Linked DNA regions of Cricetulus griseus. The protein of the gene in region 4 interacts with the protein of the main gene of each other region in a pairwise test. Links are inferred from orthologs where the notes say so. Each region holds a gene or a part of one and is shown on either strand. Other genes may lie near its edges.

What was found.
Region 1: the proteins of Ap2m1 (region 4) and Fxr2 interact in binary tests that used the Homo sapiens proteins (3 or more experiments, as listed by UniProt). The link is inferred for Cricetulus griseus from reciprocal best matches to the Homo sapiens genes AP2M1 and FXR2.
Region 2: the proteins of Ap2m1 (region 4) and Dvl2 interact in a two-hybrid assay, tested with the Homo sapiens proteins (2 studies listed by BioGRID and IntAct). The two-hybrid records come from large-scale screens. The link is inferred for Cricetulus griseus from reciprocal best matches to the Homo sapiens genes AP2M1 and DVL2.
Region 3: the proteins of Ap2m1 (region 4) and Tgoln2 interact in a two-hybrid assay, tested with the Homo sapiens proteins (2 studies listed by BioGRID). The link is inferred for Cricetulus griseus from reciprocal best matches to the Homo sapiens genes AP2M1 and TGOLN2.
Region 5: the proteins of Ap2m1 (region 4) and Egfr interact in binary tests that used the Homo sapiens proteins (3 or more experiments, as listed by UniProt). The link is inferred for Cricetulus griseus from reciprocal best matches to the Homo sapiens genes AP2M1 and EGFR.

What each region holds. Positions count from the first base shown.
Region 1 is NC_048600.1:83,485,693-83,491,106, forward strand, and holds part of Fxr2 (fragile X mental retardation syndrome-related protein 2), read left to right. Parts: intron 1-300; coding exon 301-394; intron 395-1,536; coding exon 1,537-1,608; intron 1,609-1,709; coding exon 1,710-1,858; intron 1,859-2,354; coding exon 2,355-2,448; intron 2,449-3,983; coding exon 3,984-4,100; intron 4,101-5,414. UniProt on the Homo sapiens protein: mRNA-binding protein that acts as a regulator of mRNAs translation and/or stability, and which is required for adult hippocampal neurogenesis. Specifically binds to AU-rich elements (AREs) in the 3'-UTR of target mRNAs.
Region 2 is NC_048600.1:83,853,343-83,858,571, forward strand, and holds the end of Dvl2 (segment polarity protein dishevelled homolog DVL-2), read left to right. Parts: intron 1-38; coding exon 39-178; intron 179-258; coding exon 259-335; intron 336-986; coding exon 987-1,054; intron 1,055-1,382; coding exon 1,383-1,511; intron 1,512-1,585; coding exon 1,586-1,717; intron 1,718-1,839; coding exon 1,840-2,019; intron 2,020-2,445; coding exon 2,446-2,664; intron 2,665-2,805; coding exon 2,806-3,254; 3' UTR 3,255-3,798; downstream 3,799-5,229. Other genes in the region: Acadvl (very long-chain specific acyl-CoA dehydrogenase, mitochondrial), read right to left, coding at 4,096-4,236, 4,306-4,381, 4,478-4,550, 4,643-4,715, 4,798-4,870, 4,954-5,051, 5,128-5,229.
Region 3 is NC_048601.1:64,347,854-64,353,942, reverse strand, and holds the start of Tgoln2 (trans-Golgi network integral membrane protein 2), read left to right. Parts: upstream 1-2,416; coding exon 2,417-2,422; intron 2,423-4,345; coding exon 4,346-4,817; intron 4,818-5,051; coding exon 5,052-6,089. UniProt on the Homo sapiens protein: May be involved in regulating membrane traffic to and from trans-Golgi network.
Region 4 is NC_048597.1:68,099,597-68,105,645, reverse strand, and holds the start of Ap2m1 (AP-2 complex subunit mu), read left to right. Parts: upstream 1-2,240; 5' UTR 2,241-2,361; intron 2,362-4,438; 5' UTR 4,439-4,481; coding exon 4,482-4,555; intron 4,556-6,049.
Region 5 is NW_023276807.1:89,407,005-89,413,076, forward strand, and holds the start of Egfr (epidermal growth factor receptor), read right to left. Parts: upstream 3,597-6,072; 5' UTR 3,582-3,596; coding exon 3,501-3,581; intron 2,880-3,500; coding exon 2,696-2,879; intron 1-2,695. UniProt on the Homo sapiens protein: Receptor tyrosine kinase binding ligands of the EGF family and activating several signaling cascades to convert extracellular cues into appropriate cellular responses.

The DNA.
Region 1 (5,414 bases), on a different chromosome or scaffold from region 4:
GAGTAGACAAACATACTAGGTCCTAAAAGGAGAGTGAAAGGTGGAGACTGGTAGGTGGCAGGGAGGAGCTGAGAGTTTGGGTAAGAATTCCAGGAAAGAAAGGGCAGATAGCTAGGTGCAAGTTGTAGTCATTTGATACTTGGTATCAAGGGATAAAAGACCACTATGGAAAAAGAGCCTGTTGTGACTCTTTGACGATCAAGTAGGATAAAAGTGGTCTTGGCAAGGGAGTAATCCCTTGTGAAAAGGTGGACAATTACATCAACCTGAATAGCTTTCATGTCACTGCTTGTCTTGTAGCTGGCAAAGTGAGAGACAGATTCCTTTTGGGGATGTCCGGCTACCACCTCCAGCTGACTATAATAAGGAGATCACAGAAGGTGATGAGGTCGAGGTAAGGCCTGTGAAGTCCAGCTTTCCAGTGTTAGTTTGCCTTTTTCCCCTCAGGATTCTGTTTTTGTTTTTGTTCTGTTTAGTCAAGACAGGGCTTCTCTGGCTGCCTGAAAACTTGTCTGAAGACCAGGCTGGTCCCAAATTCATAGAGATCCACATGACTCAGCTGGATTTTGGGTTTTTAACTTAACTGATTTCATGGGTATGATCTGAGGGTGCACCAGTTTAAAGGGGACACTTCTTTGTGTGTGATAAATCCACTTAAAGTCTAGTCCTGTAGTATACATATGTGAGTTTGAGTGTGAGTGAGACTTGGAATTGAACCCAGCGCCTTGGGCATATTTGTGTGTTTGTGGGGTGTGTATGCATGATTGTAGGCAGGAGTGTGCCACAGCTCACAAGTGGTGGTCAGGACAGCCATGAGCTCTTGGCCACTACAAGAAAAATGAAATAATTAAAACTCAGTGATCTCATACTTTCAGTTAGTATCTCCTTACTCTGGTTTTATTTTTGTGGGCTTAGGAATCCTTTTTAAGTGTCCGAATGCTTTCTCCAATTCTTTTGTTTATTTTTTTAAAGATTTATTATGTGTACAGTGTTTGGCCTGCATGTATGCCTGCAGGCCAGAAGAGGGCACCAAATCTCATTACAAATGGACGTGAGCCACCATGTGGTTGCTGGGAATTGAACTCAGGACCTTTGGAAGAGCAGGCAGTGCTCTTCACCAAAGAGCCATCTCTCTAGCCCTTGGTTTTTTTTTTTTTTTTTGGTTTTTCAAGACAGGGTTTCTCTGTGTAGCTTTGGAGCCTATCCTGGCGCTCGCTCTGGAGACCAGGCTGGCCTCGAACTCACAGAGATCCGCCTGCCTCTGCCTCCCGAGTGCTGGGATTAAAGGCTTGCACCACCAACGCCTGGCTTAGCCCTTGTTTTTTATTTTTTATTTTTTTGAGGTGGTGTTTCTCTTGTGTATCGGCCTTGGCTGTCCTCGAACTCACTACTTAGACCAGGCTGGCCTCCAACTCAGAGATCCTCCTGCCTCCTGAGTGCTGGGATTAAAGGTGTGCATCAACACACCCGGCTTTATTTCTTCAGTTTTTTAATATAGTCTTCAGGGCTGTGTCTCTGTATTTCTAACTTTTCCAGGTTTATTCAAGAGCCAATGAACAGGAACCTTGTGGTTGGTGGCTGGCCCGGGTTCGGATGATGAAGGGAGATGTGAGTGACTAAAGCCCTTTGGGGAAGTCCTGAAACTGTTGTTTTGTCCAGGGAAAGGTAGCAAATGGATGGTCAGGTCATACACTTTTTCCTTTCGCCAGTTTTATGTCATTGAGTATGCTGCCTGTGATGCTACCTACAATGAGATTGTCACCCTGGAACGACTTCGGCCTGTTAATCCCAACCCCCTTGCAACCAAAGGCAGCTTCTTCAAGGTTACCATGGCTGTGCCTGAAGATCTCAGAGAGGCGTGAGTGTTGGAGAGGTTGGGAACTGGGGGCTCTCTACAGTGCTAGCCTCTGTCCTTATTTCTCCCAGGTCTCCCACTCTTCAGTTTGTTCTGTTCATCCCCAGGTCCTGTGAGGGCCTTTTTGCATGATACATCTGCAGCCCTTTCATTTTTCATCTCTGTTCCTTTCTGTCTGTCTTTGTTTTGTTTATTTTGAGACAGGGCTTCACTACGCAAGCTTTGGCTGGACTGAAACTCCATTTGTAAACAAAATGGCCTTTAAGTCACATAGATCCACTATGCCCTGCTTTGATTATTTTTAAAAACAGTTTTCTTAATCCCTATTCTTCAACAATGATTCTATCCCAACCTGGTCTATACATTGAGTTTCAGGATAGTCAGGGCTGTTACGCAGAGAAACCCTGTCTCAAAAAAAAAAAAAACAGTGGTTTTATCTTTATTTTCTCCTCTCTTCTTTTTGTCAACCTCTTACTGGGCACTTTACTCTTCCCTGCAGCTGCTCCAATGAAAATGTCCATAAAGAGTTCAAGAAAGCACTGGGAGCCAATTGCATCTTTCTCAACATCACAAACAGTGAGCTCTTTATTCTGGTGAGTTTTCTTTCTTGAATTTAACATGGGCCTTTTCAACAGTTTTCCCTTTTATAAACTTTTGCAGAAGTGGATATGCTAGACTGCACTCACACTTACTTGTGACTTTGTTACTCCTGACCCTTCTTTCCTTAGTTTTCCTCATGTACTTTTGGTTTTTGGAGACAGGGTTTCTCTGGGTAGCTCTGGATGTCGTGGCATTCCCTCTGGAGACCAGACTGGCCTCGAACTCACAGAGATCCACCTGCCTCTGTCTCCTGAGTGCTGGGATTAAACCAATGCCCAGCTGAGATTTTTTTTTTTAAGAGAACATTTTTCTTTACAGATGTATTCATTGCGTACTATACAGTGTTCTGCCTGCATATATGACGCAGGCCAGAAGAGGGCACCAGATCTCATTACATATGGTTGTGAGCCACCATGTGATTGCTGGGAATTGAACTCCGGACCTCTGGAAGAGGAGCTCTAGTGCTCTTAACCACTGAGCCGTATCTCAAACCCCCAGTGTGAGAGGTTAAACCTATGTGCTCTAGACAAGTACCCTAGCTCTTGGATATATCAGGATCTTTGTGTGTGTGTGTACATACTTGAATGCATTGAATTGCACATTGGGAGGGGGTGGCCCTGAAGTGTTGGTGTCAGTTATCTTTCTCAGTCACTGTACGCTTTACAAGACATAGTGTTTTCTTTGAATCCAGAACTAGCCAGTCAGCCAGCCTTGGGAACTCCTGTCTCTACCTTTTTCATGTGTCTCTCAACCACCTGTAACTCCAGTTCTGGGGTACCTGACACCCTCTTTTTGTCTTTGTACCTATGTATACATAACATTCACAGAGAGACACATATAAAGAAATCTTTTTCTTTTTTTGAAATGGTCACATTTTGACTGTCCTAGTAGAACTCACAATGTAAACCAGTCTGGCCTCAAACTCAGAGATTTACCTGCTTTTACCTGCTGCATTCACCACTACCCCTGATATAACTCTTTTGGGGGGGGGGCACGCTATATAACTCTCACCTTGTACTAAGTCCTTATTGTCAAATGACTTCTGTCAGAATTTGTCTGTCCGGCCACTATGTAACTGACAGTAATTTCCCTGGAGCCTACCTCATTTCTTTTTTGTTCCTTTGAGACAGGTCTTAACTGTATACCCCCAGCTGACCTTATACTTACTATGTAGCTGAAGCAGCACTTGTTTGTGACAGTTTTCCTGCTTTAGTTTCCCTAGGTTTGAGGTGATAGGCATGTGTTACCACGTCTTATTTTAAACTTCATTATTGTTCAAGGCAGGATTTCTCTCTGTGTAGCTCTGGCTGTCCTGGAATTCACTCTGTAGACTAGGCTGGCCTCAAACTCCCAGAGATCTGCCTGCCTCTGCCTCCCGAGTGCTGGGATTAAAGGCTTGAATCACCATGGCCTGGCTGAACTTCATCTTGACATGAGCCTTCTTTCAGGGATTCTGGCATTATGGTGCCCAGTATCTGATGCTCCCTGGGGTGTATTTTGCTTTTAAAACTTATTCATTTCTTCCCAGTCAACCACAGAAGCCCCTGTGAAGAGGGCATCTTTGCTGGGTGATATGCATTTTCGAAGCCTTCGAACTAAATTGCTGCTTATGTCCCGCAATGAAGAAGCCACCAAGCACCTAGAGGCAAGTTTTGGCTGCTCTTTCTCATGCTCAATAATGTTGTCCTTCTTTCTTTTCACATCTTCTTGTGTTTCTGGCTGTTTTATCTCACACTCTCCAGATGACAATGTTCTATCATGTTCTGTCTTGTTTTTTTTTTTTTTTTTTTTTTTTTTTTAGACAAGGTTTCTGCATACCACTGGCTGTACTGGAACTCACTCTATATGCCGAACTCACAGAAATCCACCTGTCTCTGCCTTCTTGAGTGCTGGGATTAAAAAGATATGCCATCATATTTGGCCAAAATGTACTGATTATCTTTCTTCCTTTCTATAATAAACTTTGAGGCAGGTTTCTGTGTTACATAGTTTTGGCTGTCCTGGAACTTGGTGTATAAAACAGGTTGGCCAAACTCAGAGATCTATCTGCCTGTCTCCCAAGTGCTGGGATTAAAGGCGTGTACCACCACGGCATGGCAAATGTTATTTTTAAACAGGGTCTTACTGGACTCCTTGGCTTACCTGAAACTCTGTGTAGGCCAGGCTAGCCTCAACCTCAAAGAATTGCCTGTCTCTGCTTCTCAAATGCTGAACTATAACCCAGCCCACAGGTTTTTTTCTTCCCGGCTGAGGATAGAACACAGGGTCTGTTGCTTGCTAAATAGGTGTCTATTTTTTTTTTGGCGGGGGGGGGGGGGGTTCGAGACAGGGTTTCTCTGTGTAGCTTTGGATGTTGTCCTGGCACTCGCTCTGAAGACCAGGCTGGCCTCGAACTCACAGAGATCAGCCTGCCTCTGCCTCCCTAGTGCTGGGATTAAAGGCATGCTAAATAGGTGTCCCTCTAATGAGCCACACCCTCAACTCCTCTACAAGTTTTTGAGAGGGAGCTGGAGGTGAAGTCACCATTCCTTCCATTTGATATATATGTCTTTGCCAGTCCCAAAAGAACAGGTTTCTTTTTTTTAAGATTTATTTTGCCAGGGCTGAAGGTTTGGCTCCTTCTAGTAGTTAAGAGCATTGGCTGCTCTTCCAGAGGTTCTTACTTCAAATCCCAGCACCCACATGGTAGCTAACAACCTTTTAAAACTGTAGGCCCATGGGATCAGATGCCCTCTTCTGGTGAATCAATGTACATGCAGACAAAACACCCATACCCATGTGGTGCATACCCATATACATTTACTTATTTATTTATTTATTTATTTATTTATTTATTTTTGGTTTTTCGAGACAGGGTTTCTCTGTCTCGAAACAGGCTTTGGAGCCTATCCTGGCACTCGCTCTGGAGACCAGGCTGGCCTCGAATTTACAGAGATCCGCCTGCCTCTGCCTCCCGAGT
Region 2 (5,229 bases), on a different chromosome or scaffold from region 4:
TCTGGGGCTTAGTCCCCTCATGTGAACTCCCCCCACAGAGAAGTACAACTTCCTGGGCATCTCCATTGTGGGCCAAAGTAATGAGCGGGGTGACGGAGGCATCTACATCGGCTCCATCATGAAGGGGGGCGCTGTGGCTGCTGATGGGCGCATAGAGCCTGGAGACATGCTTTTGCAGGTGTGCTGACAGGTTGGACACTGGCTTGGGCAGAGGCTCTCACCCTCCCACATTGCCTCTGACCCACTTCTCCCTTCCAGGTGAATGATATGAACTTTGAGAACATGAGCAATGATGACGCTGTACGGGTACTGAGAGACATTGTGCACAAACCAGGGTGAGCCTCTGCTAGGTTCCCACCCTTAGGCCTCTTGTTTTTAAGTTCTTTCACCTTTGTTGTGCAATTTAAAAAAGAAGTGAGGCCAGGCATGGCGGCACACACCTCTAATCATAGCACTTGGAAGAGGCAGGTGGCACTTTGATTGTGGTCTACATAGTGAGACCCTGTCTCAAAAAAAAAAAAAAAAAAAGCAAAATAACAAATCTAAGTGGCAGTACATGTCACTCCAGCTTAAATCATGAAAAAATTTTGGTGACTACCTCAGAAAGCCCACCCACTGCACACTCCTTCCCACTTCCACCCTCCTCACTGATGGTAATTACTCTCTTGACTTCTTTGGTCAAGAAAACCTTTGATGGGTTTTTCCACCCATGCCTGAATCCTGGAACAAGATGGTTCAGTGTTACCTGTCTCGTGCTTCCTGTGAATGAATGGTACAGTGTGTACTCCCTTGTTTCACTCAGCACTATGTTTTTAACTTGCCCATATTGGTGAGTCATCCACATTGTGGAGCCCTCCACTCTCACGTTCTCATAGCCCAGTTATGTGTGTGTTCCTTTCTCCTGTATCTTATGCATCAGACGTTGGTACTTCTGAAGTCTCTTCCCTTTGTGTGCTTGACTGTGACTGGCCTTCTCTTTTCCACAGCCCCATCGTGCTGACCGTGGCCAAGTGCTGGGATCCCTCTCCCCAGGCCTACTTCACCCTCCCCCGAAGTGAGTGATGCTCAGGCAGGGGTCTGAAGTTAGATCTGGGGAGCCTGGGCATGGTGGCTTAAGCTTGTGATCCTGGAATCTGGGAGGCTAAGACAGGAGGCTCTCCCAAAGTTTGAGGCCAGCCTGGAATATATAGTGAGTTCCAGGCCAGCCTGGGCTACAGAGTGAAATCCTGCCTCAAACAAACAAGAACAAAAAGAGATTAGAGGTGCCAGAAGATGAGGGTGGGCTTCCAAGTTACAGGGGATGGGTTCAGGAAGGTCAAGGGAGGGACAGGACAGGGCTAGTTTCGTACGATTGAGTGGTGATTATTTTACTTTTGCACCAGATGAGCCCATCCAGCCAATTGATCCCGCTGCCTGGGTGTCACACTCCGCTGCTCTGACTGGCACCTTCCCTGCTTATCCGGGCTCTTCATCTATGAGCACTATTACATCTGGCTCGTCCCTGCCTGATGGTGAGTCTCAAGTCCCTTCCCACCTCCCTGTTTGAGTGAACCTTTCTTCAGTTCTCTGTTCTCTCCTCTGTTAGGCTGTGAAAGCCGGGGTCTCTCTATCCACATGGACATGGCCTCTGTGACCAAGGCCATGGCAGCTCCAGAATCTGGGCTAGAAGTTCGGGACCGCATGTGGCTCAAGATCACCATCCCAAATGCCTTTCTAGGTATTCCCAGACCCTGAGCAAGGTGGCATGGGAAGGGGAGGAAGAGACCAAGGCCGGGAACAGCACAAGGGTGAGGGTAGGGTTTGGGAGGAAAGTCTGACTTTTCCCACTGTTGATCTCAGGCTCAGATGTGGTAGACTGGCTGTACCATCATGTGGAAGGCTTTCCTGAGCGCCGGGAGGCCCGGAAGTATGCCAGTGGACTATTGAAGGCGGGACTCATCCGACACACTGTCAACAAGATTACTTTTTCTGAGCAGTGCTATTATGTCTTCGGGGACCTCAGTGGTGGCTGTGAAAGTTGTAAGTCACCTTCCCTGGTGTGGGAGAGCAGATTGTCCTACCTTGTTCTTCAGTCCAACCCTAGACCTGGCCCAGGAACTGTAGCCATGGCCACCAGGGTAGTCAGGCACTGTGTGTTCCACGCTTGGCCTTGTAGTGGCCAACCATGGGGGCTGATATGTGCCTATATACTGCTGAACAAGCCAGGTACTAGTTGCAGAACTGTATTCCCAAGGGAAAGAGTGCCTCATGAGTCCCACAAAAGCATATTGGGCTAGTGACCCTGGTTGTGTCTGTGCCCTAGTAGCTGAGTTTCCTATTCCAAGCCGCCATAATCCCTTTGGCCTTCCCATTGTGGGTGGCTCTGGGGAAATGGTTCCCGGTTTCTCTCTGTTCTCAGGAATCCTGGCCTCTTAAAACAGGGACCTCTCTTTCCCTTTGTTCCAGACCTAGTTAACCTGTCTCTGAACGACAATGATGGTTCCAGTGGGGCTTCTGACCAGGATACCCTGGCTCCTCTTCCTGGAGCTACCCCCTGGCCCCTGCTGCCTACCTTCTCCTACCAGTACCCAGCCCCACACCCATACAGCCCACAGCCTCCACCCTACCACGAGCTTTCATCCTATACTTACGGTGGAGGCAGTGCCAGCAGCCAGCACAGTGAAGGTAAGTCACCCCACATACTAATACAGCTAGAGAGTGAGGGCACGGTAGAGGGGACTCAGGGAGGAGGCAAGAGCAGGGGCTTCGGGAATCCAGAGGACTCTGGACTGAGCTTCACTTACCCCATTCCCCCCCCCCCAACAGGGAGCCGGAGCAGTGGGTCAACAAGAAGTGATGGGGGGGCCGGGCGCACAGGGAGGCCTGAGGAACGGGCCCCTGAGTCAAAGTCTGGCAGTGGCAGTGAGTCCGAGCTTTCCAGCCGGGGAGGCAGCCTTCGGCGGGGTGGGGAACCCAGTGGGACTGGTGATGGGGGTCCCCCTCCATCCAGGGGCTCAACAGGCGGTACTCCTAATCTCCGAGCTCTTCCAGGGCTCCATCCCTATGGACCTCCCCCTGGCATGGCTCTCCCCTATAATCCCATGATGGTAGTCATGATGCCTCCACCCCCACCCCCTGTCTCTACTGCAGTGCAGCCCCCTGGTGCTCCTCCAGTTAGAGACCTGGGCTCTGTGCCCCCAGAACTGACAGCTAGCCGTCAGAGCTTCCACATGGCCATGGGCAACCCCAGTGAATTTTTTGTAGATGTTATGTAGGGCCTACCCTGAGGCCGCATTGGGTCCGTGCCCTTGGCCTGTCAAGTTTCAGCTTGGTGCTCCTTATAGTGCCTGTGTTCATCCTGGTGCTTGATACCTACCACAATGTTTTTGCCACTGTGACTCTCACCAGCAGTGCCTGGTCCTTCCCCTTCCTCAGGGGTAGTCGGGGACCTTTGGTTATTTTTAGCTTTATTTTTTATAAGCCTTTTGGGGGGTTAAAATAGACTTTCTTATATTTTGGGGAGTATTTTTTTAGTAGACATTTTCTCTTTTATGTGAAGAAACCCTTCATATAAAATTTCCTGGGTCCCTTCTAACCCCAGAATATGACCACCACCTCCAGTTGCCTCATTAGCAGTCACTTGGAGGGTGGGTGGTGGTTAGTGGTACCCTGGGAAGAGGAAGGGGGGGGCCTGGGTACCCTAGACAGCAGTCCAAGGAAGCTGGTGGTGTGTACATGGGGACTGTGTAGCTGCCTTTGTTACTCTATTTATTTTAGTCACTTGTATAAAATACCAAATAAAGCAATAGAGGCCAATTCCCCAAGCCTCTGGCTCCTTTCTTTGGGAGGCAGGCAGTGGAGAAGAGGGAGACACGAGGAGGGACCAGTGAGGTACAGCAGCAGAGGGGCTTGTTAGAAAGTTGGGATGGAAGCAGGCTCTGGACAGGAGGGACTGGAGAGATGCAGCAGCAGAGGGTGGCTTGTTAGAAAGTTTATTGTTCTTAAGGCAGTAAAGAATCCAGAGAACAAACACTTATTGGGGCCCCATAAAGGGGGCCTGTGTTTTGGCATAAGGGAAGGCACATAACTTAGATGCTAGAGCCTGACTGGGTGTATTCAGATTCGAAGGGGGTTGCTGGTCACCACGCCACCACTATCCACCATGGCCTTGGAGATGCTTTTGAAGTTACGGAAGAGCTGCTGCTGCTGAGGGTTGGATTGCAGGTTAGCCATGTTTTCTCGGATCCGTGCTGCAGCCTGGGGGAGAAAAGAGGGTCAGGCCTCTGTCTCAGTTCCCCACTTGCACTGGGTACCTCCAAGGCTCACCTCAATACACCAGCTGTCACAGAGCATTTTCTCATGCTGTGCTTCGGGGTGGCCCTCACTCAGGGATCTTGAAGCTCTGTAAGGAAATGAGAGGTTGATAATCTTGTGCTGTGGTACTGGCCCAGCTACTCTGTGGCTCAAAGCTCCCAAGCTTCCCACTCTGCCTTCCTACCTGGAGAGAACCACCACCATGGCATAGAGGTCAATGGCTCCATCTGCCAGCCGGTGCAGCAGGAACTGTTCATCTGTCAGGTAGATGAGGGTGTGGGGGTTAGCAGTCTGAGGGGAGGAGGGAGGGAATGGGGCGGAAGGTAAGGGGGTTGCAGGGCTCACTCACTGACGATCCCTTTCTTGTGTTTCATCAGCTTGGCCTCCACTACAGTGGCAAATTGCTCCAGAGCCTGCACTGTCTGAAGAGACAAGAGTCACAGAGCTCAGAAGAAGAAGGCAGCCCAGCCCCCGGCTGTAGGCTCTGCTCAAAGGACCACTCACCAGTTCACCACTGTGACTTAACTCTGGGTGGACAACCCCGGAGAGACTCAAACCACTCCCAAGTCCTGTCCGCCTGGAAAGAAATGGAAGAGTGGGTGACTGGTTAGTTGCTGCATGCCTACCATCTTGTCTTCCCTGGCCCTGTCCCTGGCTTACCGCCTCAGCTGTTTGCCTGCTTCTCCTATCAGGAGGCCAACATTCCCAAGAGGATTCTTTAGGGCATTGCCAAGCCCAGTGAGTTCCTTTCCTTTGTCCTGTCGGGGAGGAGGGTCCAACAGTCAGGACTCAGTGTCCTTCACACTTCCTCTCCCTTCCTCTCCTTCCTCTTACCATACAGCCCTGCAGAGCCACAAACAATCGAAGAATGTCATTTGTCCCTTCAAAGATCCGGAAGATTCGAGTATCTCGGAGCACACGCTCTACCCCAGGTTC
Region 3 (6,089 bases), on a different chromosome or scaffold from region 4:
CAGCCAAACTCTTACCACTTGGCTGAAGCTTTTGTCTTAGTTAGGGTTTCTGTTGCTGCAAAGAAACACCATGGCCAAAAAAGAAATTAGGGAGGAAAGGATTTATTTGGCTTGTGCTTCCACAATGTAGTCCATCACTGAGGGAAACCAAGACAGGAACTCAAACAGAGCAGGAACCTGGAGACAGGAGCTGGTGCAGAGGCTGTGGAGCAGTGCTGCTTACTGGCTTGTTCCCTGTCTGTTCAGCCTGGTCTATTGTAGAATTTACAGTCACCAGTCCAGGGATGGCCCCACCCACAATGGGCTGGGCCCTCCTCCATTGATCACTAAGATAATGCCCGAGATCTTATGGAGGCATTTTCTCAATTGAGTTTCTCTCCTTTCAGATAACTCCAGCTTATGTCCAGTTGCTGTAAAACCAGCCAGCGCAGCATCTAATCTGAAATCTTATTTCAACCCGGTGCTGTTTGATACTGTTCATTTCACTTTCCTTCTAGAAGCACTACATTCTGTGACAAATCAGAGACTTCTAAGGATGTAGAGAGAAATAAAATCAGTGGAAATCAAGGAGATGATGTCCCAGATGACAAATGACATGACTCACTTGGAGGCCTGTACAGTGGGATTTGTATGCATGGTTTTAAAACTTGCTGTATTTTCAGTTAACTATCATGTGCACATATATGACTACAAAAATATTAACAATAGCTCTAGGTAAAAAAAAAAAAAATTCTGCCTTTAATCCCAGCACTTGGGAGACAGAAGACCGATGATCTTTGTAAGTTTGAGGCCAGCCTGGTCTACAGAGTGAGTTCCAGGACAGCCAGGGCTATACAGAAAAACTCCATCTCAAGAAACAAACAAACAAAATAATACTGAGGAAAATGGTTCCTATATTTGCTTTGAACTCCATGCTCACATTTCCAGTTACCATGCCAACACCTCTCCTCTTGGCTATCACAATCATCTAAAGTGAAGATAAACCAAAGTAATAAGTAATTGACCAGAAGCAAATTCATTTCCTTCTGGTTCTCGAGCAGTGGTTCGTTCCTACCTCAGGGAGAAAGTGCCTTCCTTTCTCCCTCCCCGTCTTTCCTCTGCTTCCTTTCCAGTCTACCTCGGAAGCATATTGGTACTGCTTTCCAATCGCATCTCCAGTTTGACCACCTCCCATCATGCTCTCTGGGCCTGTGCACAACTTGGGACTGTTGCAAGAGTCTCCTGATCCCTTTCCCCTACTACCCAAGTCAATTCTTTGTGATACCAGCCAAGTAATGGCCAAACATTCTCCACTCTGATTACAACTTGCCCCTACTTAAACCTCTTCAGTGTCCAAGAGCTCTGTGTGAGCAGACCTTTTTTCCTCCCCTACCTAGTAATGTGGACACCAGGTCAGGTTTAATCATTTGCCACTACCCTCCCCACCCACCCACACCCTCACTAAGCCAATATCCTTAAATGTTAGTCAAACATTTATCTTAAAGCAGGCAGACAGAATTTTCTTTTAGAAAAAGTTTCCTTTACCAGTTCACTTCCTCTAGCCAAGGCAGAGTCAACATTCTAAAGATTTTTTTTTTTTTTTTTTTTTTTGAGTTTTGGAGACGGAACCCAGGGCTTCTCACATGTCAGGCAAGCAGCACTTTACCACTGAGCTATCGTCCAGCTCCTGAAATAATCTGGTAGACTTCTCATCAGATTTTTATTCTTTCTTCAGTAATGTAAGAGGGGAGAGGAAAAGGATGGGGAGAAGTGGTGAGGAGCCTGTTAAAGGGATTTTTATTCAAATAACAGAAAAGGCCCTTGTTTCTAAAACTGTAGTTGTGTTATGTACTAGTTCTTGAAATTTTGAAAAATTTCAGCCATCCAGGACTACATATCATATCATATCATATCATATATCATATCTCACATCCAGGCCTCTCACAGAGTGTTACTTTCTTATGGCTATAGTCCTTTTTGGCTGGAGTGGGCCCAGTTTACTTGTCAACCAGAGTTAGCTGACATATTTTCTATTGCATAAAAACTTACATTCTCGTCAACTCCCAGATCACTGGTTTCTCGGTCTGGCTCTGTTCCAACCTCCTTCTCTATCATTATCCTTGTCACACAACAAGCTTGCTCTTTAGGCTTACCCACAACACCAGGTTCACACTGCATGTGCTGCTCACTCTGCCAGGAATCCTCATCCCTCTCTCCTTTCATTAGTCCCCAGAAGTATCTACAACCTTCTGTCCTCAGTCCCATGGTTCATTCCTCAGCTGATACACACTTTTCATATTCTGCTTGGCAGTTCTTGGAATGCTTTCAATCAGTTATTTGTCTGGAGATCATTGCAAACTACTTGACAAATGTAATTTAAAGGTTAACTTTGGCTTACAGTTCCCAGAAATACACAGAGCATCATGGAATGGAAATCATGGCTGTAAGAGCAGGAGGTGGCTGGTCACACTGAATTTGTAGTCAGGAAGCAGAGAGGTATGAATATTCTATGTTGTGCTCAGCTTGGTTTCCATTTTATTCAGTTCAAGACTCGAGCCCATGAGATACTAATGTCCACACACAGGGTGGGTCTTACCACCTCAGTTAACCTTACCTAGATAATCCCTTACAGGAGTGCCCAGAGACTTCTTTCCATGGTGATTCTAAAGCCCATCGAGTTGACAATAAAAATGAACCATTACAGTAAACATGAATAAACATCTATGTGGTAGTTATGTACTTCACCAGATTGCTTACTTTATGAAATTAAAGTTGTATTTATTTATGTACTTTTGCTTTTTTTTTTTTTTTGAGACAGGGTTTCTCTGTGCAACAGCCCTGCATGTTCTGGAACTCACTCTGTAGAACAGGCTGGCCTCAAACACACAAGAGATCCGCCTGACTCTGCCTCCTGAGTGTTGGGATTAAAGGCGTGCACCACCACAACTGGCTATTTATGCACTTGAGTTTCACTTTGTTCTTCAGGCTGGCCTCCAAAATCTGGCAGTTCAAAAGATCCTTTGCCTCTGAGGCTGGAGAGATGGCTCAGAGTTTAAGAGCCCTGGCTGCTCTTCCAGAGGACCCAGGTTCAATCTCTAGCACACACACACAGCAGCTCACAATCATCTCTCAATTCCAGTTCCAAAGGATCCAATTCTCTCTTCTGGCTTCCTTGGGCCCCAAACAGGCACGTGATAAATAGGTATAAATGGAGACAAAACACACATGCACATAAAATAATTTCATAATTTTATTTAAAATAGCTTCTGTCTTAAACCTCCCCAGTTTTGAGGACCATTTAACGTGGCATGGTGGCACGCAACTGTAATCTCGGCAGGGGAAGGAAGACTGATGCTAACTCAAGGTCAACTGCTTTTTGGAGTGAGCTCCAGGTCTGCTATAAGCTGCCTGTCTCAAAACAACAAAAACAAAACGAACATAGTTTTTGGGATTTTTGGTTTGAGCTAGGACCTGCTATTTGTTAAATCATTGTTTACAAAATACCTAAACTGGCAAATGTTCATAAATTATTTCAAGCAACCTGTTTAAACAACCCAGCCCTATCACAGCTGATACAAGAAACAAATGCAAATAATAATCAATAGATGAACAAACAGCAAGAATTTAAAAAATGTATGTTTTGCTTACATGTATGTCTGTACACCATATTCGTACTATGTCTGTGGAGGCCAAAAGAGGGTGTCAAATCTCCTGACACTGGAATTACAGACCTTTGTTAGCTATCTTGTGAGCGCTGGGAATGGAACTCAGGTCCTTCGGAAGAGCAGTTAGTGTTCTTAACCACTAATCCATCATTTCTCTATCCCCTAAAATAGTATTTTCTTGTTTGTTTTTTTAAGACAGGGTTCCTCTATGTAGACTTGGCTAGCTTGAAACTAGACCAGGCTGGTCTCGAACTCAAAGATCCTCCTGCCTCTGCCTCCTGAGTGCTGGAATTGAAGGCATGTACCGCACTGCTGGGCTTCCCTAAAATAAATTTTTATAAGTATTACCTTTTTTTCTGCTTTCTTGTTTGAATTATTAAGAATATATTGCTGCCAGGCAGTGTTGATACACGTCTTCAAAGGACACCGCGCATAGGTGGTACACACAAAATAAATCTTTGATACCTTATGTCTTAAATAAATAAATAGCCCCAGAAGGGGGCGTGGCGAGACGCATGCAATCCTAAGCACTCGGGAGGCACGAGCTTGACGCTAGCCCGTCCGCAGAGTAATGCAGTATCAAATACAAACAAATTCAGAAAAAGGGGAAAAAAAATTCCGTGGTAAATTCAGAGGGCCCTAGATACCGTCAAGAAAGAGATTCCGACCAGGAACGAAAGTGATGAAGTGTTTGTTTCTAGACGGGAAAGCCCCGAGCAGAGTACGTTTTGGTGTGGAGTGAGAAAAGCACCACCAGCAACGGAGATGTCAGAGGAACCGGCGGACGACGCGGCGAAGCGGCTCCCGGCCCCGCGACCCCATATCATGAGCCTCGAGGGGCGACGCAGCGCCAGCCGCGCAGAACAACTCCCAGAGCACGAGGACACGTGCACAGGGAAGAGGCGGTTGAGCTCGTCAGGGTGCTGAGAAAAAGAGGAAGAGCGGGTCCTCACGTGCGCTGCACACTACCGGAATACTCAGCCGCTGACAGCCCGCACCCGTTAGCCCCGCCCCCGGGGCGGGGCTGCGCCGGAAGAGGAACAGCCCGCCGGAAAGGGAGTGGCCACAGGCTCGAAGTCCCTCGCGCCGCTCTCACGTCAGCAGAAGAGGGCGGAAGTGCAGACTACAGGATGCGGTTCCTAGTTGCGTTGCTCCTAAGTGTCGCAGTGGCGAGTAAGACCCCCCAGCCCCCGCCCCATCCCACCCTCTCCCTCAGGTTCTCTCGTCTTCACCTTGGCGGGTTACCACCGGAGCTGGCGTCCTCCTTTCCTGGCCCGACCCTCGGGCCATCTCCACCCTTCTCTCATTCGGCCATCACCGCTGGCATCTTCCAGCGCTGAGAAGCCAAGCCCCCTTCTCTTCTCCCAGCTTTTTCTTCCGAGGGCTTAACTGCTTTTTCTATTTCAGGTGTTACGCCGCATGAATCTAACCCACTCATCACCTCAGGTAACGATAATTCTCCGATTCAGTCTTCTAAAGAAAAACTCTCCAACCAGAGCCCCATGTCTCCTGAGAAGGAAGTGGAGTCTAAGCCGGGAGAGCCCGGCGGGCAGACGGATCAGAAGCAGCAGCCGGGAGAGTCAGGCGGGCAGACGGATCAGAAGCAGCAGCCGGGAGAGCCCGGCGGGCAGACGGGTCAGAAGCAGCAGCCGGGAGAGCCAGGCGGGCAGACCGGTCAGAAGCAGCAGCCGGGAGAGCCCGGCGGGCAGACGGGTCAGAAGCAGCAGCCGGGAGAGTCAGGCGGGCAGACGGGTCAGAAGCAGCAGCTCGGAGAGCCAGGTGGACAGACGGGTCAGAGGCAGCAGCCGGGAGAGCCAGGTGGACAGACGGATCAGAAGCAGCAGCCGGGAGAGCCAGGCGGGCAGACGGGTCAGAGACAGCAGCCCGGAGAGCCAGGCGGGCAGACGGGTCAGAGGCAGCAGCCCGGAGAGCCAGGCGGGCAGACGGATCAGAGACAGCAGCCCGGAGAGCCAGGCGGGCAGACGGGTCAGAGGCAGCAGCCCGGAGAGCCAGGCGGGCAGACGGATCAGAGACAGCAGCCCGCTAACCCAAACCCGGATGAGACGGTGGCGTCGACCATGGCAGCAGTTTCCAGTTCGGTGGGATCTGGACAGCGGCAGGTCATTGCAGCCAAATCCCCAAATCAGCCCCAGACAGCAGATACCCAGTCAACCGGGACTGCACAGCAGCCTCCGCCACCCGATCCCAAACCCGATGAATCTAGGCAGAAGCCCCCAAAAGATGATTCAGATAAGCTCACAAAAGTTCCTGCGGACGACCGCATCTCCAAACCCTCCTCAGATAAGGAGACCGACAAGATTGACAAGACGGAGCTAGCTGGAAAAGGACAGAAACCAATGCTTACTTCCAAAACTGAATCTGGGGAGAGACCGGCAGGGGACTCTGACTTTTCTTTAAAGCCAGGGAAGTCTTCAGAGCTTACCG
Region 4 (6,049 bases):
ACAGACCGTTGAAGTCACACAAGAGGACCACTGAGACTTCCAGACGGTTCCAGTTCTTTTTAAAATTGTTTTCCACCTTACATCACAATTTTCTCTTTAAAACTCCACTACAAACTGTACTGACTTACCCAGACTCATTTTCAGGGCAAGGGTGTCAGAGCCGGAGATGTAGCTCTGTAGTAGAGTGCTTGCCTAGTGTGCCCTGGGGTTCAGTCCCCAGAAAATGCCTCCCCCATCAAGATATCCTTAGCCCACGCTTGAGGGCAAACTAAGGTAGGGATATTTTGACATTCATTCATTTAACAAATATCTCCTAGGATTTTAATGAACAAAGGGCTATGTTAGAAGCATGACTCAGTCTTACCTGTCTCCAATACCCTGACTCTGCCATATTCTCAAGAACCCCGCTACAGTGCTCACGCATTGGATGCCAGCATTCCATGATCCCATCTTTGATTCACTGCTCTTTCTTTGCCAAAATAGTGTCATCCATTCTCTTTTCAATTGCTTTTGATATGCTGGCCATTTCTAAACATGAATTTCCAACCCCAGCTTCCCCCACTCTTTAGATCTCTTTATTACCCACTGGACATCTCCAGAGGCATGTCCATATGTCCCTAGACCAGTATTATTCCTCTTGAATCCCTGCCCTGGTGACTTTCACCACAATCTGCATAGGCCCACCAGCCAGGAACATTTATGGGCTTAAATTCCTTCTTCCTACATGGTATTAGTCAGCATATCACACCCTTCCACTCTGGCACTCTTTCTGAAGTTCAGCTGTTCCTCTCCTCCTTCTTAATTTACAGAGCACGGGATTTGGAGTCAGGTTGGTTTGGGTTTGAATTCCAGCTCTACCATTTTTGGTTGTGTAATAGTTATTTAACCTCTCTGGAGCCTCAGTCCTCCTGTATGTAAAATGATGATAATAATACCTACCTCACAGGGTTGTTGTGAGGATTTAAATTAGATATTGTACGAAAAGTGCCTAGCACAGTGCCTGGCACACAATAGAGTAGGTGCTCAATAAATGGTAGCTATTATTATTATTATTATTATCATTACTAATTTACTCTAAATTGGCAAACATTTAGAGTATGTTGGGAAGGGAAAGCTTTTGCAAAGATAGACTTGAAATCTTGAATGGTGGTTCAAGGGTTAGAAGTATCTGGTTTTGATCACTGAATAATGTCCCAAAGCCTTTTGATAGTCTTTTGAGAAATGTCATGTCTTCATCCTGTTATGTCCTGGCTTCTGGAAGGAGGTTGCTAGGAATAGTAAGATTAGCAACTAGATTTCCCCATTCCACCCCACCCCATTCCTTTCCACCATATAGAAGTCTTGGGCCTGCTCAGCAACAGGATGTCTCTGCCTACAGAGGGACAAGAACCACATTTTCTTGATTTGGCAAGAACCAGGCAGGCTTTTTGTGTCCAGGGTTAGCTCCACCTCATTCTCTCAGTTTGGATAACATGAGAGATGGAATTTCTTAATTCCATGCCCAACTAAATTGAGGTGGGGTTGAGGCAGGGTCTCTTATGTATCCCTGGCTGTCCTAGAACTCCCAATGTAGACCAGGCTGACCTCGAACTCACAGAGATTTTCCTGCCTCTGCTTCCCCAGTGCTGGGATTAAAGGAGTGCACCACCAGCACACATAGTCACAGGTTTAGCTGAGAAAAGCGTTACCTAGTTCTGCCAAGAATTAGCTTTGCCAAGATTTGCCCTCCCCACTCTTCTCTTTGGATAATTAGCCCTGGGAGAGGCCCAGTCATGATTGTAATCGACACCTACCTTGGGAGAATCAATCCTGGTGTTAAAAAGCAGAGAATTCAGCTCTAACAGGCTCATGCCAAGTTCTGTTTGTAAAGTGAAGATAGCCAGTCTTCGGAATCTGAAGACAATTACAGACTACAGTAATTCAAAATTTACAACTGGTTTGGACAAACAGCTTTGATCTCTCAAAGCCTACCGAAACAATCTAACTAGGAATTGGAAGGATTGCAGAGACTACACTTCCCATGATACTCAATGAAGCAAATGAATGGGAGGAGTGTACTATGACGCGTGTTGCCAGCAAGACGCACTAAGGCTCGCGTCGGTTCTCTCGAAGGCCGTCGGTAGTTGTAGTTTTGCTAAACCTAGGGCGCTCTGATTTAGCAGTTTGAAAGCTGCGGGGGCTGACGGGACTTGTAGTCGCCGCTGGAGGCAAGTGCGCAGGCGCAGCTGAGATCAGGGCGGGGCGGGGCGGGGCGGGAGCACTGCAGTGAAAGCCGAGGCAGCGGACAGGCGAGCAGGGGGCGGGCGGACATCTTGGGATCCGAGAGTGGCCCGCCGGCCTTGTGGAGGCTGCTGACTCCAGGTGAGCTGGGAAGCTGGACTTACCGATCCTTACCGGGCTGGCGAGGGCGCCGTGGACCCCGGCCGTGCCCTGCACTGCCCTGGGTGCAAAACTGCCCGCACCCGGGAGTGGCCTCAGCCTTCAGACCCGGGAGGGAGCGGACGACCGGGCGGAGGTGCCTCGGGCGCGATTGCAGCAAGGGCGGGGAGCGACGCCCTCCAGTGACCCGCCGGGCGTCTCTGGGGAGAGACAGGGGCCCGAATCCTAGAGCCAGGACGCCGCGCGGCGCCCCCACCCCTAGAATCCTGGCAGCGCTCAGCCCTGAGGCGTCCCATCTCCCCCATCCCCCAGGACAGTGACATCCCCTTGTGCCACTCCCTTGGACAGTGACAGGTCTCGAACCTTGGGATATTCCTTCCTCCTATTTAACCCCCACGGCTCTTTCTCCTCAGACCTGTGACAGCCCCCGCATGCCGCGGTGCCATCTCCCTGGCCTGGATATCTCCTCCCTTGGCTGAGAAAACCCCACCGGCTTCTCAAGCCTCACTAACCGCAGAGTAGGCCTTGTCTCTCAGCTTTCCCTTTTTCTACTGTCAGTATGTCTCCGCCGATTTTTGCTCCTCAAAAGCACCTATGACCTTTGCTATATGAGAACTAATTTAGGGCCTCGCACAGCCGTCTTAGCTGCTGTGGGGTCACCCTAGTATATTGCTAGCAATTACAGCTAACCATTCCCTTAACTAAATATTCCATGTCTGTCCAGGACACACACAAGTACAACCAACCCCCATCCGCGGTTCCAGTGCCCTGAGCTACCTTCTGCTTGTTACCTGTGGACTTAGTCCTTTGCTCAGGACTCAACCTCCATTTTACATTTTTTTTTTCTCAGCTTCTTTGGAACTGTGAGATGCAAATGAGTCCACCACCTTAAGAGACTTGTCATTGGTCTTGGATTTATTTTCCAGTTTCAGAAAGTCTGTTAAACTAACTCCTGTGAAATTAATACCTGGGCTAATCCAGAAAATCTAGAACCAGATAACCCCTTTTCTCCAATAGTCTAAATTAGTTTTGACCCAAATACTTTGGACAATTGAGGCATTCTATGATCCCTGCCCATTGTTTCTAAATACCAGGCCTGAAGTGAATTACTGGTAGATCATAATTTAGATGGGAGGGTTAATGCTACACACAGACCTTATTTTTAATGCACTTCAAAATTTTGAAAGGACAGTGACCAGAAATTACTGTAGGAGAGGCTCAGCGATTTAAGAGTACTTACTGCTCCTCCAGAAGACTTGAGTTCAGATCCCAGCACCCATGTCAGGTGGCTCATCACTGCTTCACATCCAGCTTCCATACACACAGCACACACACTGGCATGTACATACATGAAGGTAAAATAAAATCTTTTTTAGGAAGAACTATAATAAGCTACTTGGGTTATGAAGTGTGTTTTGTCAGCACTGGGGGCCTCTGCTCCTTTGCCTGCTTATCTCACTGCCTGGGAAAGATGTACCTGCTTCAGCCACTTTCCTGCCTCCATGGGCCTGCTTTCCCTCCCCTACCCCCTCCTGCACACCCTTTCCTGGAATGTGTAGACTTCTAGAGGTTCATGCTCTGCTGCCTTCCTGGAAGAGTTAGTGCTTGCTCTAAGGTTGTGCCTGGTGGAGGTCCCAGGCTCAAGCCAACTAGAGTAATTTCTACTGCCATTTCTGCAACCGCAGGCAGGCCTTCTCAGTGAGTCACTGGAAGGAGCCTGAATTGGAGCCTGCACAGCAGGGGGTTGGAAAGAATCCTTGCTGAGCTCAGCACTGTGAAGAAGGGGTGGGGGTTACCCTCTGGCCCAACCCTTGGGAAAGACTAGATGAATGTGACCTTAATCATGGGCCCCCACGCTCTGAAATTGCTTTCTCCTATCCAGTGTGGAATAAACAGGAACTGGAGCCTAGCTGAGGAGGTGGGGCTTCCCTAGGAAAGCTGCAGGGTCACTTGTTAGAGGACTGAGTCAGGAAAAAAGCCAAGCCTGTATAGCCCCACTGGGGGCTTGGGCAAGGGTTCTGAAGATTTCCCTTACCCTACCCCCACCTTTCCTTCATAGGTCTGTTCTCAGAGCAATGGGTCACAGAGACTGAGCTGCCACCATGATTGGAGGTTTATTCATCTATAATCACAAGGGGGAGGTGCTCATCTCCCGGGTGTACAGAGATGACATCGGGTAAGTTCCTTGGCTGAGCATGCTGTACCCCAACCTCCCTGTCACCTCAGCCTGAGCATGCAATATAGCCTGGTTTCCATTTAGCCATTGGCCTAGCATCGAGACTCGGGCCCTCGGAATGACACCCTCCCCCCAAGCTGCCAGGCTTAGGAATGAATCCCCGCCCTTCCTGTTCCTGTATCTCTGAGGGTTAGGTCTGGTTGCTAACGATGAGTGCTTTCCCAGTCAGGTTGATTCTTCCATTCAGGAGGGAGCGCTATCTATCTCCAGTGGGTGTAGTTAGTACCAGGGCGAGGCACTAATCCATCCAAATCTTGCTTTCAAAATGCTTCTCATATTGAGAGTCTTCCCTAGATCCCTGTAAAATCCTCTTTGGTGGGTTGACTTGGCTGTTTTCACTTCTGGGCCCTTTCTGATTGTGAACAGGCTTGAAGGGCTCTGTGGGTCATGCTGCCTTTGTAGTTCTCTCCATGTCCTAAGTCCCTTAGACCTTACAGAGAGCTCCCTGCAGCTTTGCTTCTCTGCCTTACACCGTGGCGCTTTGCTTACTAAGATCCTCCACTGCTCTAACCTGAGGCTAGGCTCCTCTGGTACTTCCTACCTTGTGTTTCTTTCTCAAAGAGCTTGAGAGAAATAGTCATGGAATAGCTCTGTCGTAGCTCTCCTCTCTTGTCTCCCTGGCTGATGGGCTCACTTGATGTGGCCTCTGTGGCTGCATTCATTGTTGTAAAGCTGAGGTAGGCTTTGTGGCAGTGCCTTGCCTAAGTGAGCCTGGCTGGTCCCACTCACCCCTTCCTCTTCCTCCTACCTCTCTGATGGTTCTGGTTGATGCTACAGCTAAGCCACATGACTCCCCGCATGTCTCGGTGTGCTCCCCACCTGCTGCCTGTCTGCTGCCCCCTCATGGTATGTGCTGCCCCCGCCCTTGGTGTGTTGTGCGTTGTCTAACCCTATCTCTCCTTGCTGTCACTCTCCTCCTCTTGATGGCGTCATTTCTCTCATCCCATCTCATTGGCTGATGTAGCAATAGGTAAGCAGCCTGTTATGCTGCCACTCAGGTACAGGCGGGTAGGGGGTCCTGCTCCCCATAATTGTTTTCCTTCATCGTTTTTTCATCCCCTTCTGGAGTTGGATCTTAGAAAAGAATTGGGTGGCACAGTCCATAGCTCCTTCTCACCCTATAGGATAGAATCTTCCCTGAGGTCATACTAGCTTTGTCCAACTTCCAGAGGAGTTGGCTTTCCCCATTGGTGGGGCCAATAGAGATCTTTCTCTTCAGGGCCTGGAACTTCCTGGAAAGCTAGAGAGGTGACAGCTGGGCTATATCTAGGAAGTTGAAGTCAGGCCTGGGAGTTACTTTAGTAAAGCTACATCTCCCTTCTGTTGTCATCATTTGACTCCCATACTTCTTATGGCCTGCAGAAAGCAGCCCAACGCAGGTCTTCTTCCCATGGCCTTACTGGCTACTATAAGAAGGGAGCCCTGGTGGTTTAA
Region 5 (6,072 bases), on a different chromosome or scaffold from region 4:
ACTTTGCAAAGTCAGGGTTGAGAAAAAGTCTCACTTGTAAAAAGGGAGAGGGCTACATTAATAACATTAGACACAAACATGGATGGAATGATTTATGTATAGATAATCCATTGATGCCCTGGTCTGCAAAGATGAACCTGACTTGTGGGCTTCTCTCTGAGAACTGAAATGCACAGAGAGACAGGTATATCGCAGCTATGTCCAGAGGAGACAGGACTGAGAATTGGGTTAGTTGATGTGTAGGTATTACCTCACCAAGACCCAAAGACTATCATTGAGATATGGGGAAAAGCCTGGAGAGATGACATACGCTGCCCTACTAGGGGACCTGGGTTTGATTCCTAGCACCTATATTGGGTGGTTCACAATTGCCTGTAACTTCAGTGCCAGTTCATCCAATGTTTCTGGCCTCCATGGGCACCCACACTCACATGCACACCCCACTTCCACACATATGTATATAATTAAAGTGGAAATAAAAAGCATAAATGTGGGGAAACTCAACTATAGACACAAAAGTGGCTGCCCGACTGCACCCGCAGGGAATGGAAGCACCTGTCTGTACAGTGTGCTGACATGGAAAAGGAGGATTTCTCTGGGAAATCTTGCAGAGACTGCTGGCTGACAAGCAGAGATGATTTGCATGTGTTCAGGGGCAGCATTTAGAGGAAAGGGAAGTTGGAGGTGCTGAAGGCTTCCAGCAGACAGAGACACAAAGCACAACTGTAGATCTGGGGCAGGTGACAGTTTTCTTAACAGATGCCAGGGGATAAAAGAACTTCAGAAGGAAGGTGGGCAAGTCAGAAAGAGCCAAGATGTGGAGCTCTACCTGGAAAATAGAGATGACAGCAGTATGATAGAAACAAGAGGAGACAGAAGTATAGGGTCAAACTTAGCAAAAGAAGACAGGCACATCAAGGTTGCAGTGACAACCAAGAGAAGAGACAAGGAGGCACAGGGAGGTGGGAGAGCCAACAATAGGTAACTGATAATTGGCCGGGGGCAGGATTCACTAGTCTCCTCCTTCTAACTGAATAGAGAAAGGCAATGAGTAGAAAGTCAAATCTTTTGTTTTTATTTCAACATTTGGGAAATGCTCAGTTGTGGCAGTAGTCCTATATTAAATAACTGGGACCAATAAAACTATAACCTTGCTTTAATTAGAAAATAGGGGTAGTTCAGTTAGAGCATGCACACACAGACACACATATAGACAACAACAGCAAAGTAGGAACTCAATAGCTGAGGCATGCTTTGTCTGTAGTAATACAGTTGATTTTTGTCAACACAGAGGGAACACATTAACAAATATGTGTACTACATTTTGGACGTGAGGGCACTGAGATACAGAGAAAAACACAGGTGAAGGAATATCTGCAAAGTCGTTTGACTGACGGGTGATGGAGTTGGGGCTGGAACACAGACAGCCTGGCTCCAGGATCTAGACTCACACCCGCTGGCTTCCTCACATGTATGAGGCAAGATAGGCAGAACAAGGCATGCCGAAAGTACCAAACAGGCCATTTCATGCAATGTGTGTACAGGAGAGATGAATGCTAGCAAAAATTCAGAAACATGCGTGGGTGCTCAGAGCAGTTAAAGTGGTGGGTGGGAATTCTGGAGGCAGTTTATGGGATGGTGAACCAGGGAGCTGAGGAAGGAAGTGTCTGGCTGGCTGTGTGGCCACATCCTAGCTCAACACACCAATAGGGTCCCATTCTCTCTACTTTTTCTTCCACCGCATCCCCTTCCCAGTCCAAATGGCTTCCCCATCAGAACTGCAGGGCACACAGGGATGAAAGAACCAGGCATGGGGTACAGGAAGAGTTATCTTAATGCCATGCCTTTATCTGTAAAATGACAGAGTACAACACCTGCTTTTATGGAAGGCTGTGGCATTAAGTGGAGTTACTGACTTGAGAAACAGTCCAGGAAATGGAGGAAGAATTGTTGTTTCTCATCATTTCAGCCACCCTTTCCATTTTCCTCTTCAACTCCAAAATCTTCCTTCCTCTTCCCAACTTACACCTGAGTTTCCATGTAACAATATTAACCTTGAAACCTATTCCTCAAACAGGACAGATTTTAAATACATTAGATCCCTTTCCCATGAGTGGTTTTGGGGTCCAACTGCTGTTGGTCCACTTTGGGAGAAACATCAAGTGACCAAATTCACAAGCATTTGGTGAAGCACACTAATTGTTCTGTTATTTTTCATTGCTGTTGTTAATGTTTTGCTATACCTAATCAATGAACTGAATGATGAGAGCCATATAGATTCAGGAAAGGCATGGCATGTATGGTTTTGGACACCTAATGTTTCAGACATCCAGTTTTGCCTAGGAATGCTTCCCTGCAATATGAGGGAGTGACTGCATGTCCTTTCTGCCTCTGGCCCAAGTTTATTTCCTATTAACACAAACTCTCACTCACCGAGGTTGACCGGAGAACTTGGTCATTTATTTCCATCTCTGGATGTTATTCCTCATCCATGGAAGAACTGGTTTCTACCTGGCTGAAATCTCTTTCCATCTCATTACCTATCATCTTTGTAACTGCCACCCACTGAATCCTGCAAACAGCACTCAGTACATGTGTTTCACAAACATGTCTTCTCTGAGTTAGGATTAACTGAAATGACAGATTTGCCACATGCCATCAGAATCCCTCTTGGCCTTGATGTCCCACCTCTTACCCTGTAGGTTCCGCATGGGCAGTTCTCTAAGCCCGGTTCTGTTTGTCCCATAGTTGGACAGGACAGCTAAGGCATAGGTGTTTTCATACAGAGTGTTCCCCCTGATGATCTGCAGGTTCTCCAGAGGGATCTTCTCCACAGTGTTGAGGGCAATGAGCACATAGCCAGCAACCTCCTGGATGGTCTGAGAGGGAAAACAAAGCCTATTAAAGTGGGCCCAGGAGCCCCATTTAACTTCACAATGACACATTCATGTGGCAGATAAATCTAAGACACATAGACAATCACATGTGGGTAAAGGTTGTGGCAGGATTTGCAATGATTTCTTTCACGTTTCATTTGAAGGTTACATTAAAGAACAGCTGATTGATATGTTGTGATTCCCACTTTAACTCAAATAAATGGAAGTGAAAATAACTATTTTGAATTCATCTCTCATGATTTCTTGTGGAAGGAAGAAGTGAGGGAGAAGGGGAAGAAAAAATGAAAAAGAAATAAAGGCAAAGTAAACCCAGCTGAAGTCCAAGTGTTTGCATAGCAGATTTTGAAGCCTTCAGAGTTGGCTCCTAATGGCTCACTAGGAATATTTAGGACTGTGGAACATCAGAAGGGTTTCTCTCCCATTTTCCCCCACAAGCAACTTGACTTTAGCTGGAAGAGTGGACTTCTCATAACACTCTCCTATAGTCCCTTGGATTTGTGGCTTCCATAAGATGAAGTATCCATGCCTCAAGTCAGATTCTACTGAGTGTTCATATTTCATTTGATAGTGTTTGAATAGGACAACCACATTAAACGAACTAACCTTTAAGAAGGAAAGGTCATAACCCCTTTGCACGTAGGTAATTTCCAAGTTCCCAAGGACCACTTCACAGTTGTTGAACATCCTCTGCAGGCTCAGAAAGTGGTCTTCAAAAGTGCCGAGTTGAGTGAGCCTGTTACTTGTGCCTTGGCAAACTAGAATAAAAGGGAAAGAGGTCTGTCAGAAGATGCCGAGTAAGGTAGCAAACCACAACAAAACAATACTCATCAGCTTTCTGAGCCACAGTGACTAACAATCATCTTTGATCAAAGCCACCACAATGCTGATGTGGTAAGAGATGTTTAAGTTTACACAGCTGTAATTCATCGTGAGACAGAACTCATCCCTGTGATGCAGGCAATCATGTGATATTAAGGACACAGAGAAAACAAAGCATTAAAAGTGGAAGGCGGGGGAGATGTAAATTGTATAGAGGATTGTATTAGTTACTTATTTTGTTTCTGTGGCAAATCACCAGACAAAATCCACTTAGTGAGGGAAGGGTTTATTTCAGCTTACAGTTCTAGGGAAGACAGTCAACTATGGCAGAAAAGGAATGGCAACCAAAATGTGGAACATCTGGTCACATTGCATTCACAGTCAGGAAGAAGAGAGAGGTAAGTACCTCTCAGCTCTCTTTCTCCATTTTAATTAGTTTGAGGACCCCAACCATGGAATGGTTCTGGCCACCTTTAGGGTAGAAATTCCCAAATCAATTAACCTCATCTAGAAAACTGTTCACAGATATGCCCAGATGTCTATTTCTATAGTGATTCTAAATCTTGTCATGTTGACAATCAAGTTTAACTGCAGAAGTCTCTAAAATAGAAAGATAGCAATTAAATTTCTGTGGATGACACAATTGCAAAATGAGTTAATAACAATGCAATGAACATTTTACTTCACAAAAATATGTGTGCTACATTGTTGTGTACACAAAGGGTCTCCAAAACCACAAGACACAATCGGCAATGTTTTCTAACCCCAATTCTATATACCTAAAAATCAATGAAAACAATGGAATTTTAAAAGTCAGCTGTTAGAAATTAAAAATACTCCTCAGAATCATTCAAGGACAAATCAAAGTTCTGATTATAGAATACCCAGAATTCTTTTTTAAACTGAAAAATAACGCTTTAAAGCCATAGGCTAGTAAGAACCCAACATGTCCTTCTGTCTTTTTTCACATTGTGTTATTCCAACTAACACAGGTATCCATGTTTGTCTTGCATCCCCGCCAATATACAGCCTGTCAAGACACAGACTTAATCCGAGAAAACATGCGAAATTAGGGGCCAAAGTTATACCACAGAAATGCACTCAGTAGTCTGCATTTAGAAGCAGAGGAAAGGATAGTAATAAAATGGTATTCACAACTTGGCTTTTGGGGAGACATGTTTAGGCAAGCAAAACAAAACAAAGAGGCTTGGAGCTTTTGAAGCAGGGAGCTTGTTAAAGGATATACTTTGAACCAAAATTATCCTAAGAGTGAAGAAATATGGCCTCTGGGTTTAGACATTACATTTGGAACTGGCCAGATCCTTCTGTGTTGGCAAAGTTTCTCCCTTGACAGTCACAGTAACGAGGGGACAGAGCACAAAATAAGGCCAATGTCAACACAGTGTTACTTTCTTCAGGTACCTTTACAGTATGTATTACTGTTTTATAGGCTTCTTTGTTCCCTCCCCTTGGGTTGTTCTAAGAGCATCATCTGTCTGGCCTGGCATGATGGAGCCACAGTAAGCAACCGGCACATGTTCAGACACCACATAATCAACCCAAGGCATTTACAGACACTATGAAGCAATCTTCTCATCCTCTTTAACTCTATGGGAATCTCCCTAGCCCTCTTCCATTTTCTCTAATTCAGCAGAAGTAAGGGCTGTCACATAGAAACTGTGAAAGTTGACAGGTTTGGCTCCCTATCTCCCACCTGTAAAGACAGGGTAACTTCATAATTCTTCCAAATATGACTTTGACTTGACCCAATATGTCTGGTCTGCTTTTATCTAAGAGAATGAGCTGCTCTGATGTTTGCCTCCACTAGGAACAACTGTTTAAGTCTTCTGTGCATACAGATGCTTAGGATGCCGCTATAAATGTATCTTTAGGGGTTTGGCAATAATAGGTCACCTTCCCAAAGTAACATTGTTGATTGGCAGCTACCTTTCCAATTAATAGGCAGTAGCTTTTGATTTTAATTCTTACTGATCAATCATGGCCCCAGTCACCACAGGTGACTTGTTCTCCATATCAGAATTGTATGCAGAACCCTCTATAGATGGGACCCATTCAGAAGGCATTCTTCAGCACATTTAATTATATTCAGAAATACATTTAATTATATTTAATAAAAAAATAAATAACCAAACACTTCAGCTTGCCAGTTTCTTTAAGTTGACATTAAGATTTTTCTTCGTTATTAAGCTAATTAGAAAGTTTTGTCAAACAAAAGTCAAAATATGGCCATTTGAGATTAGTGAGTTACAGAAAAAGAAAGAAAATGTATTTGTCTTTCAGTCATCTATTCAAAATGCTAAACAAGCAATTGAAGTATTTATGAATATTATCAGGA